3 linked regions of the Drosophila melanogaster genome follow. The main gene of each other region encodes a partner of the protein of the gene in region 2 in a complex. Each region holds a gene or a part of one and is shown on either strand. Other genes may lie near its edges. The genes, in order: CSN5, CSN8 and CSN3.

Region 1 (3,648 bases), on a different chromosome or scaffold from region 2:
GTTTTCGAACACATGAAAAGGATTTCTCGATCTTCACGCCAGTCTCGCGCGGCGAATAAGAGGTAATAACCACGTCGGAGATGGCGCACAGCCTTAGTAGCTTTTGGTGGCTACCTGGTGGCGTTGCGGTATTCTCCTTATTCTGCGTAGCCTCCAGAAGATTTACTTTGGGGGACTCGTAAGCTGTCTCCTCTGTGCTGCGCTGAATTGATTCATTCAGTGAGACATCCTCCAAGTGAGACTCACTCTGATCACGAGACTCTATAGAAGTATTTCCTTCGTCGTCCGAATTGATGCTGTAGTGAAAACTGAAAAGGTATAAGCAGAGATAAGGTTTTATGAGGACTATTAACAGGCAGACAACACATGCTTGCAGTAGGGACTTTTTCCTATTGTTGTTGCCCAAAGACATTTTAGGGGTTGGCCAGGTAGTCGGTTAGGGGTCTGCCTGCTGTTTTCACTTACTTGTGAACTGTCAGGCGTTTTTCGGCTTGTAGACGATGCGATTGCTAAATCAAATAAAAATGGGGAAATTGTAGGACTTGGAATACTGTACTATCTGGAACAGATGGCGGCTATTACCTTCAATGAAGGGCAGGAGTTTGAGGCCTGTTCGTTGGGCAATAGGCGTTCTGGGGTGCATGGGGCATCCTGCACCTCGGAGGTCTTGGGGAACTCCCACGTGTAGACCTTGTCTCGAATGGTAATCTTGCCACCGTGTAGCAAAGGACGCTTGCCTGCAGCGTGGATGGCCACGTCGTTGAGATGAATGGGGTCTCCGCTGGACTTGTTGTATATGATGACCTAAGGGCGGAAGAAGCAGTATGTTAGGGCGGTTAAGGGGGATTCCTGCCATCCAGACTCACCCTGCCGAAGGCATCGCAGTTTATTTCGCAAATTAGACGCTCCTCCTCTGGCCCCTCCAGGATGAGGTCGCAATTGTAGTAGGAGCCCACCTGGAAGGTGCGCCCTTTGGCTGCCAGAACCACGGTTTTACCATTTTCGTCTTCGTAGCGCAACCTACCGCCATCCAGCGACATTTTCCAAGCGGCGTCGCAAATGCGGCTTGGGTGCGGGGAAAACGAATACCGAAGCGAGCACTTTGAAAAGCCGCAAAGCTATTGGGAATAATACGGTAAATGCACGTACACAAAACACCCACAAACTATTCACTGATTTCTTTCACACTTTTCCACCAGACACTGTTTTTACGGCCCACATCACGAGCTTGCCAAAGTTAATTGTAGCGAAAACTCTGTGCAGGAATTTTTTTGCAATGGACGCGCAAGCCCTGCCAACCTGCTTTTAATGCGCCGGCTTATGCGTTACATTTAAAATTCGGGGTGCAGGAACTGACAACTTACTTGAATTAAAAGTGGTTTATATTATGTGATTATTAATAATGGTTAATCTCAAGAAGTGAAAAGAAAGATACAGATTACAGATACTGCGATGAATCATTTTGTCACTATGAAATAAGGTTTTAAGTTTTTTTTAGTCAAAAATGCTGCAAATTAGAGTGCGTATCGTAAACAGAAAAATTAAATTAAAAAACTTTCCTTGGTAAAAAATTAACGATTAAAAATACATTTTATTTATTAAACAAATAAATTGTTAATATAGATAAATTTTAAATTTTTTAATCAATATTTTAATTTCTTAACTTATAATAATCGATTTATAAAAAATATCGATTGTACCTTCATGAAATTGATTGTACAGATGGTACCGACAAGTTCATCTCTAGAATTGAGCCGGAAAACAAAAACTTGCAACAAAAGACTACAATTTTCGGCATAAGTACAATCACAATGGACTCCGACGCCGCACAAAAGACCTGGGAGCTGGAGAACAACATCCAGACGTTGCCCAGTTGTGACGAGATCTTTCGCTACGACGCCGAACAGCAGCGGCAGATCATCGATGCGAAGCCCTGGGAGAAAGATCCCCACTTCTTTAAGGACATTAAGATCTCGGCTCTGGCGCTCCTAAAGATGGTGATGCACGCTCGCTCTGGCGGTACTTTGGAGGTGATGGGTCTAATGCTTGGCAAGGTAGAGGACAACACAATGGTGAGTTATTGAATGTAAAAAAGGTCCTCAATTTATAAGTCATTCCCGTGCAGATTGTCATGGATGCATTTGCACTGCCAGTGGAGGGCACTGAAACCCGCGTCAATGCCCAGGCACAAGCGTACGAGTACATGACCGCCTACATGGAAGCGGCCAAAGAGGTGGGACGCATGGAACACGCCGTGGGCTGGTATCACAGCCATCCCGGTTACGGTTGCTGGTTGTCCGGCATCGATGTGTCCACCCAGATGCTCAACCAGACATACCAGGAGCCATTCGTGGCCATTGTGGTTGATCCGGTGCGCACTGTTTCCGCTGGCAAGGTGTGTCTGGGTGCATTCCGCACGTATCCAAAAGGTTATAAGCCACCAAACGAGGAGCCCTCGGAGTATCAGACCATCCCGCTGAATAAGATCGAAGACTTTGGAGTCCACTGCAAGCAGTACTATCCCTTGGAAATTAGCTACTTCAAGTCTGCTCTGGACCGCAGGCTCCTCGACTCTCTGTGGAACAAATACTGGGTAAACACACTGGGCAGCTCGGGTCTGCTCACCAACACAGAGTACACCACCGGTCAGATCATGGATCTCTCCGAGAAGCTGGAGCAGAGTGAGAACTTTTTAGGTCGCGGTACATAATGGGTCGATTTAGGAATTGTGCAAATAATTTACCCGCTTTATTATCCACAGGAACCGATGTCAATGAGAAGCGTTCGGAGGATAAGCTGTCCAAGGCCACCCGAGACTGCAGCCGCTCCACCATTGAACTGATACACGGCTTGATGGCTCAGATTGTTAAGGACAAACTTTTCAACAAGGTCGGACTGGGCAAATAGTTCAACACTAAAATTCGCAATGAATTTTAAAATGCATTGTGAATTTTCTTTTCATTTCCCTGGGAAATATTTAAGTAAGTCAAGCTTATCCAAAAGAAAAAGGAAATTATAAAACCGCCTCATAGGCTGATGAAAAAAATCTCAAACGCTTTTACTTTTAAAATGGGTTCTTTTTTGTAGAGAAACTGTTTTCGTTATTTATGTATTAGACGACGGAAGGCATAGTAAAAGTTGAAACTTTTATTCGCCTGGACGAAAAACAGCCGATCCACCATTTATTATATTCTTTCAGATAAACAAACCTTTTTATTGTTAAATAAAAAACGCTTCTGCATTTGACATTTATAGAATATAAAATAATTGGACATGGCGATAAAACATTGTCGAAAATGTGATGCTTGGGTAAATCAATTGGTCTAGAATTATGTAACCCGAGCCGGTCTCAAAGCAACAACTGAAGCCCACCGACTGAAACATTCCCTAATTGCTTCGGGATTTTTAAAGTAAATATTACACAGCCTGGTTAGCTATACAAGCCAAGCCGCGAATGCGTCCCTCTCATCAATCAAATGGTTTCATTATTTTCATCGTTTGGTTTATTTTACAACTTGTATTCCCCGATTGCGTGTTTGCCGATGGGCTCTAGGGTTTCCCTGACAGACCCGTAGTCTACTGTCTGCTCCTGGGAGCGAGAGCTACAAGTGAGATGTCAACGCCCTTCCAGCACGTGGCCCAATCAAT
Region 2 (3,284 bases):
ATGTTAATCAATAACATTATTGTCCACTTCTCCCCCTCACATATAAATACATGCATGTATTTGAAATTGAAAACGCGATAAGAGGCCATCAGGGTTTTAACATCCTCAGCTATTCACGTTAAAGAAGTACCACTGTAAAATTGTTACCTGTGTGCCCCCTAGTGTGGCACATACATACAAACATTTGTATATATTTATGTACATATGTGATTTGCAGTTTCTTGCTGAAAACCATGCAACAAGTGAATGTTAAAGGAGTGGAACATTCCAATTTCGTTATTTCGATAGGTGTTTTTTAAATTATTGCGCCTAATCTCCATTTCGAAATTTAAAACACCCCCTTAATTGGGAAATAACGTTGTAACACACCAGGAATAAAAACATACGTTCAGCTCTAACAATTAAGGCATAATCGATGATCAATACATACTTAAAAGCATTCCCCAAAGCGCACTTTCAAAATGAATATATCATGTTGTTCCTAAAAGTATTCCGGTATGAAACACCCAGACTGGGCTGCACATATGTATTTAAAAGCATTTTGGGTTTTAGTCCACATCCTTTAAGCTGTTTCACAAAGTTCCATTATTGGAGATGCCGCTGAATTTGAATTAAAGCTAGCCACAGGTAAATAGTATCAAGTTTGAGTTTGGAAATCATTGAAGCAGATTACTGGAAATTATTGAAGTAAATAAACCACACATAATTTGTTTAGTCTATAAAATAGTTCCGATTTCCAGTTTTATTTGTTGGGTTTATTGGTTGTACATTGATGGAAATGTAGGACCCCGCAAGACTTGAAAACAAACTACCAACTAGCGAATCAAGAACTTAGGCAACCAGGGCGGAGGCAGTGCTCGACTCGTATTTCCAGTTGGGGGGCAGGACGCTCTTGGTCTTGTAGTAGCGGGCCAGGCGGTGGATCCTGGACTCGACCAGAATCAGACGGAACTTGCCGTCCTTGTCCTTGCGGTTGCGCTCCAAGTGCTTGCGGATGGCGACGGCCTTCTTGATCATGTGGTACAGATCCTCGGGAATGTCGGGCTTCAGACCCACCGACTTCATGATGCGCAGGATCTTGTTTCCGTTGACGAAACGCACCTGGGCAACTCCGTGCGAGTCACGCAGGATGATGCCTGTAAAAACCGGATTCCGGATTAACATAACCTCAAACAACAACATACTCGGCAGTGCTCACCGATTTTGGAGGGAGTCAGACCCTTCTTGCCCAGCTTCTTAATCTGCTCCTTGACATCATCTGCGTTCAGTTTCAGCCAGGATGGGACAGTGCGTCTGTAGGGGAGGGCTGATTGGGAAATACCCTTGCTGTGAACGAAATACACAAATGTTAGTACGCGTTTATGGCGGCGCCTGTCAAATGCGAATACGTCTGCACCATGTGCTTGCCTTTGCGGTCGATAATTAACACACTAAAACCACCGTAGAAACGCATTAAACACATTCATTCGTTCAACCCGCACGGCAGACACATTTTGCATGCATTCAGCTTGGCACACAGGCATCGAAAACAATGAAAAATTTCATTTTTACCCAGGAGCGTGCATACGACCCATCTTGATAGTCTAGTTTTTGACACCGAAAAGAAGGTGGAGACTTTTGGCACGTTGACAGCTCTACGATGTGGAGACCTGTCAAAGCAGCTATCGATAACGGGATGCTTAGCGATATTTTTTTTAATGCGCTTACAATATGTTGTGATATTCAAAACTTTACTTTAAGTGACTATTACAGGATTTATTAAAGGGAAATAGAAAGCTAATTTGTGTAAAAATAATTCATTTAGCTATCGATATATGTATACTATTGTCAGCTAGACTCTACACAAGCACAGGAGTGCTTTGGGAAGGTTTCATTTCTTGCAGCACGCTAAACGGTCACATTATTGTTTCCCGACCAAGAATTTACCAATAAAATGCATTTAAATAAATATAGTGAAGTAGTGGAGCGGCTTGAGAACGAGGAATTTGAGGTGAGTGATCGTTTAATATATTCACTACAGATGGAATTCTAGAAAACCATACTTTTACAGCAAGTCGAACTGGGAGCTGAAGTCTACCAGCAATTACTTGCTATTTACCTCTATCAAAACAAACTGTAAGTGATTGATATAAAAGAAATACATATTTTAATCTTGTGCTACAGGGCTGATGCCAAGTTGTTGTGGATGAGAGTTCCAGCTAACCTAAGGGATGACAAGGAACTGATCCAGCTGAACCTGCTCAATATTGCCCTGCAGAACAATAACTATGCCGATTTCTTCAAACACATCAAGTATGAGTGGTCGGAAAGAGTAAAGTCACCTGTGGAGGATCTTCTAAGTATGGCTATGCCTAAAAGCTTACTAATTGGATATAAAAACTTATAATGTATCTACTTAGATAAGCAACGCGAAGAGCTGTTCAAACTAATGGGCAGCGCATATATGTCCATTTACCAGCACAATCTACTGGAATTGTCACTAATGTCGGAGGACGAACTGAAACACGCCTGTGCGGCCTTAAATTGGACTGAGGAACTGGACGGTGACCGGGTAATCCTGAAGCCCAAGGTTCAGGAAGCACCGCCAGCTCGTGGAAACGATGACCAGTTGCTTAAGTTGACCGAGTTTGTAACCTTCCTAGAGAATTAAGCCTCAATAAATTTCAATACATTTAATTGGATTTTTGTATACATTTGAAGAAAAGTTATGGTCACACAGCCTGTGTCAATCTAAAAAACACTCGATTAATATCGTTATTAGACATATTTATAAATATTAGCTAAATCACCGAATTGGCGCCATTGGGTTTTGTACGAATTAGCTTTTGGAAGTATACCTAAAAATTAGGAACTAGAAACTAAGGCTACAGAATTATAATTTTCCATGTAATCTATGTAGATATATAATCATATTCTTGGCCTAATTTAATAAGTGTGATTTTAATATTCTTCAGAATTCAGTTAAATAAAATATATTTCAGAAAATCTATCGACGCGCGGAAACGCCGATAGTATCGAATGATAACCGATATGCGTTCCACCTCTACCGTTGTGTCACTTGAAGAAAAAAAATATTAATTTGCACCAACGACGTACGTTTTTCGTTCGAAAAGAACAGCAATCAGCGGATAATTGTATGGATTCTTAGAAAATTTGCAGCGACGAAATATAGTACCTTGCGAAATTATTTTGTAACCTTGAAGAAGTAAACTGCGAATCGCCAGAGGGCCAAATAGAAATCTCGTCGTTTGCCTGCAGAATAGAAGACCCGATTTTCAGTGCGC
Region 3 (4,965 bases), on a different chromosome or scaffold from region 2:
TTCATGGGGCAATGAATCCACGCTCTCCAACGGCATAAAACAGTCAGCTGAAATCTGCAAAATAAACTGTAGCTTATACAAATGATAAAAGATGATGAGAAGATCAGGGGACATACCTCCCCGTTCTTGTCGCCCACTTTTCGAGGATACTTGAAGCCAGCGGCACGTGCATCCATAGAATCCTCACAATTTGTGATCAAGCCCTGTCGATGATCCTGTTTGTGGGCTCGTAGTCGTTCTACATTAATTGAGGTGAAGCTGCAGATATCACAGCACAAGTCCCTATAGGCTTCGGCATGATTGAGCCGCATGTGGCGCTTAAGAGCATTGGCTTGGATGCAGAAGTAGTCGCACTGACTACATTTCAGGCTGCTCCTTGTGTCCTGGCTATCATGACGCTGCCGATGCTTGTGCAGGACACTGGGATCGCGAGTGGAGAACTTGCATTCGCCACATTGCAGCGGCTTCTCGCCCGTGTGCTGACGCATGTGAATCTGGAAAGAGTATTAGGTAGCAAGAAGATCGTAAAGTGCTATCTGAACTCACTATTAAGCTAGCCTTGCGAGCCGTCTTTTTGCCACACACATTGCAGATAAATGGCTTGATTTTGTTGTGAACAGTCTTCACGTGTTTAGAGAGCGTTTTACCGTTGACAAACTTGCGATTGCAAATCTCGCAAGTCTTCTCGGCATAGTATTTGTTTTTCTTTGACGATGGTGGCAGAGCAGCAGGTTGCGCGGCCATCTCTGCGGACTGTTCCTTGAGCTTTCTTCTCCGCTGAACGGCAGCCAGTGACCGGAGCACCCTGGGTCGCCACTTTTTGTGAACCTGCATGTGGCGCCACACGAGAGCGGATATGGGCGACTTGTAGTTGCATTCGAAAACGGGACACACTAGTAGGTCCACATCCACCTGGTGGGCTTTCCACAGGTGAGCCGAGCACCGCCGCCAGTTGGGCAGTTCCATGCCACATTCGCAGCAGGAAAAACTGCCACCCTTATGGCAACTACAGTGGAGCTCCATTTTGGTAGCATCTTGGAACTTGAAGGGGCATTCCTTTCCAAAGGAGCACCTTTAACAAACGAGTTTGTCAGAAGCTTATGGTAATAATATGGACATACATACGGCTCTAACATGTTGGCCCTTAGCACCAGCCGAAAGTCCTTGAAAGGCATGGGCTGCAGTTCACTTGCCGGGGGTTCCGAGTTCTCCGATCGCTCCACAACGGTTTGCTTATCCTGGCTGTTGCTGCCGGCTGCAGTTTGTTCCTTAGTTGAAGTCTTCGCAGTTTTGTTTTTGACACTGGGCGTTGAGATGGGCTCATAGCCGTGAAAGTAGACGAGATGTCCTCGAAGATCCTCCTGGAGATCATATTGACGAAGGCAGAGACTGCACACATATACGATTCGCGCAGAATTTTCCATTTTATATTAGTTACATTTCGTATTGGGATATTAACAGCAATTCAATAACAGCAACAAAGTGTTATCGAAAATAGTGAGCACTATCGCGGCTGCACTATCGAAATTTGAAATAGTTGTTTTAGAATAATTTTCTTAAAATTTCATAAACTAAATTATAAACATGGCATAACGCTGATTCTAATCGAAATTTGAACTAGTTGTTTTAGAATAATTTTCTTAAAATTTCATAAATTAAATTATAAACATGGCATAACGCTGATTCTAATGGTAAGTGCGCGAATTAAATTTATATAGTATAGAGTACAAAGAAGAGCATCAAGTGTCTTAATCCTTTAATTTTTGTGTGCCTGTTCTAAATTTTTCCAGCTGAGTGATAGTGTTATAAGTTATAGATGGCGCGTTATTACAGAGCCAGTGTAGAACAACGCTGTCTTTAGGCCACTAATCGATAAGAAATCGACAGCACCGAATATTCATCGTTTTATTCCCAGCTCTAATCCGTCGGCAGTCATTTGTTATTTCGCGAAATTATTTTTCGCAGTTTTGCAAGTTAATAGGCCAAAAAGTAGTCTCGGAGTTACCTAAAATGGGCAGCGCGCTGGAAAACTATGTGAATCAAGTGCGCACACTGAGTGCGTCCGGTAAGTTGGCCGACCGGCGAAGAACGATCCTCAAGAAACCGGGCTCGTTGCCGCCTTTGTTTTGATATTAAAGCGATTCGCAACTAACTTTGCTGGCTGGCTTTTCATCACAGGAAGCTATCGGGAGCTGGCCGAGGAGCTGCCGGAGTCGCTGTCGCTGCTAGCCCGCAACTGGAGCATTCTGGACAACGTGCTGGAGACGCTAGACATGCAGCAGCACTCGCTGGGCGTGCTCTATGTGCTCCTGGCCAAACTGCACAGTGCGTCCACCGCGAATCCGGAGCCGGTACAACTTATCCAGCTGATGCGGGACTTTGTGCAGCGCAACAATAACGAGCAGCTGCGCTATGCGGTGTGCGCCTGTGAGACATGAATCTTCTGTTCCAAAAGTACCCTAAAAGTAATCACATATCCCATTCAGTTTACGAAACATGCCATCTGTTTACCGAGTTTGTGGTGCAAAAGAACCTCAGCATCCTGGGCATACGCATCATTTCGCGCGCCATCGACCAGATTCGACAGTTGGAAACCCAGTTAACTCCCATACACGCCGATCTCTGCCTGCTCAGCCTGAAGGCGAAAAACTTCAGTGTGGTGCTGCCGTATCTGGACGCGGACATCACGGACATCTCCACCGTGGCAGCCGAGTGCAAGACGCAACAGCAGCAGCAGTCCCAGCACGCGGTATTCACGGTTGAAAATGAACTTCTGGGCTACTAGAACTCATAGATTAATTTTTTAGGATGCCAACAACGATGCCAAGTACTTCTTGCTGTACTTCTACTACGGCGGCATGATCTACACGGCGGTGAAGAACTACGAGCGTGCGTTGTACTTCTTCGAAGTCTGCATCACCACTCCGGCAATGGCCATGTCGCACATCATGCTGGAGGCCTACAAAAAATTTCTCATGGTTTCACTCATCGTCGAAGGCAAGGTAAGCTGGACAACAATTTAGTTCCGTTTATATATCAGTCTCTCAATCGGAAAATCTTGTGTCGGTTGCAGATAGCGTATATACCAAAAAACACACAGGTCATTGGTCGTTTTATGAAGCCGATGGCCAATCACTACCACGACCTGGTCAATGTGTACGCGAATTCGTCTAGCGAAGAGCTGCGCATTATCATACTCAAGTACAGTGAAGCATTTACGCGTGATAACAATATGGGACTGGCCAAGCAGGCAAGTATTTAAGGGTCATTCCTGGTTCTTTTCTAATCTGTGGCTTCCGTATGTAAAAAGTAAGACGGTATTCGAAAAAAAAATTAAAAACACCCAATTCTTTTCAAGGTTGAACAGTGCTACAAATTGAACTTTTAATTACTCACCGTTTCAAATAAAAAAAAAATAATTAAATTTATGCGGAAGTATAAACATAATATAAACATAAAATTATTTCCGGTGGAAATTAAATTTAGATTTTTCTGTATTCTAAACAACACAGTTTTTTAATAAGATAACTGGCAGAACCATCTAACTATGAAACTTTAATATTGGGTATCCCCTTAGGTGGCTACCTCCTTGTACAAGCGAAACATCCAGCGGCTCACTAAAACCTTCTTGACCCTTTCCCTGAGCGATGTGGCCAGTCGTGTCCAACTTGCCAGCGCAGTCGAAGCAGAGCGTTACATTCTCAACATGGTAAGAAGTTGTCTTCTTTTTTCGTTTTTTATTTATACCGAGATAATACCTAATTGCAGATAAAATCGGGTGAAATATATGCCAGCATCAATCAAAAGGACGGTATGGTGTTGTTCAAAGACGACCCAGAGAAATACAACTCACCGGAGATGTTCCTCAACGTGCAAAATAATATAACACACGTTCTGGATCAAGTTAGGCAGATCAACAAAATGGAGGAGGAGATCATTTTAAATCCAATGGTAGGTTCTATTGTGAGGTTATTGGTTATATGTTATTTGTTTAAATTCCATTTGGCAGTATGTGAAAAAGGCTCTTGGCAGCCAGGATGATGACCTAACGTCGCAGCACCCAAAGACTTTCTCGGGGTGAGATTTGGAATAAAAACGAACCGAGAATTGTTAGTAATGTTTCCTTTGTTACAGTGATCCCACAGATTGATGATACCACTGCCACAGAACCACCAGCAGCCTGCTGCTATCATTTCTACGCTCATCCAATCCCCAACACCGTTTACCAGAACTTGTCGAAGCCGCGAGGCCCTGGGCCCGAAAGCTGACGTCTCTTGCAGTCCGTACTCATTCAGCTACCACAACAACAAACTGCGCTCTTATTGCAAATTTAAAGATGAACATGCTATTTTAAATAAACTATGTATAAATCTATGACTAAGTCAGGGATCCTTATCACGCATTTGATTGACTCACAAATTATACGTCTCGATACTGCAACGATAAGGCTGTTGTGCCTTTTCTACGCATCGTTCGATCAGGCGACGTTTTACTGTCTGGACGGATCGGTTAAGTGCTTTGTACTTGCCCCCAATCTACCTTAATTGCAGTTCAGTTATCGTTCACGTTATTTTATTTACAATATCAATGTACATGTAACCTAACCTTAGGGCAAAAACAAACAATTAAGTGACTAGAGGACCAGCGCGTTTAATGTAGTTAATTTCTACTCGTAAGCCTAGTTTCGTGTATTTATTTACGTCTAGTCTAGTTGCATAGCTTAACATATCAACAGGCGTCTAGGTTGTGTGGTTCGTGCGTGTGGGTGGTCAGCAGCTGTCGTTCGTCGTACATCGCTCCAATCGCCCGAATTAAAACCGGAGCTCTGACATCGGAGACTGAGACTTGAGATTCTCGCGCCTCTCATAGCCAGCTGCGCTGCACCCATCCTAACCGGTCTTCATGGCGTCTAGCTCCATGATGGAGGTCTTCAGCTGCTGTGCCGGAGAAACCAGCCCCGTTGAT

What was found.
Region 1: CSN8 (region 2) and CSN5 share a complex: the UniProt entries of both Drosophila melanogaster proteins name them as parts of the CSN complex.
Region 3: CSN8 (region 2) and CSN3 share a complex: the UniProt entries of both Drosophila melanogaster proteins name them as parts of the CSN complex.

The regions. Positions count from the first base shown.
Region 1 is NT_033777.3:16,468,368-16,472,015, forward strand, and holds CSN5 (COP9 signalosome subunit 5), read left to right. Parts: upstream 1-1,731; 5' UTR 1,732-1,811; coding exon 1,812-2,072; intron 2,073-2,125; coding exon 2,126-2,702; intron 2,703-2,761; coding exon 2,762-2,907; 3' UTR 2,908-3,039; downstream 3,040-3,648. Other genes in the region: CG42232 (uncharacterized protein), read right to left, coding at 1-308, 466-509, 583-804, 867-1,040. UniProt on the Drosophila melanogaster protein: Probable protease subunit of the COP9 signalosome complex (CSN), a complex involved in various cellular and developmental processes.
Region 2 is NT_033779.5:8,362,990-8,366,273, forward strand, and holds CSN8 (COP9 signalosome subunit 8), read left to right. Parts: upstream 1-1,865; 5' UTR 1,866-1,933; coding exon 1,934-1,990; intron 1,991-2,050; coding exon 2,051-2,115; intron 2,116-2,163; coding exon 2,164-2,339; intron 2,340-2,399; coding exon 2,400-2,650; 3' UTR 2,651-2,674; downstream 2,675-3,284. Other genes in the region: RpS13 (ribosomal protein S13), read right to left, coding at 832-1,136, 1,199-1,326, 1,552-1,574. UniProt on the Drosophila melanogaster protein: Probable component of the COP9 signalosome complex (CSN), a complex involved in various cellular and developmental processes.
Region 3 is NT_037436.4:20,838,510-20,843,474, reverse strand, and holds CSN3 (COP9 signalosome subunit 3), read left to right. Parts: upstream 1-1,898; 5' UTR 1,899-2,010; coding exon 2,011-2,065; intron 2,066-2,178; coding exon 2,179-2,427; intron 2,428-2,486; coding exon 2,487-2,749; intron 2,750-2,807; coding exon 2,808-3,002; intron 3,003-3,073; coding exon 3,074-3,250; intron 3,251-3,577; coding exon 3,578-3,709; intron 3,710-3,768; coding exon 3,769-3,951; intron 3,952-4,009; coding exon 4,010-4,077; intron 4,078-4,134; coding exon 4,135-4,150; 3' UTR 4,151-4,379; downstream 4,380-4,965. Other genes in the region: CG11456 (uncharacterized protein), read right to left, coding at 1-54, 117-494, 547-1,072, 1,126-1,424; CG13255 (uncharacterized protein), read right to left, coding at 4,890-4,965. UniProt on the Drosophila melanogaster protein: Component of the COP9 signalosome complex (CSN), a complex involved in various cellular and developmental processes.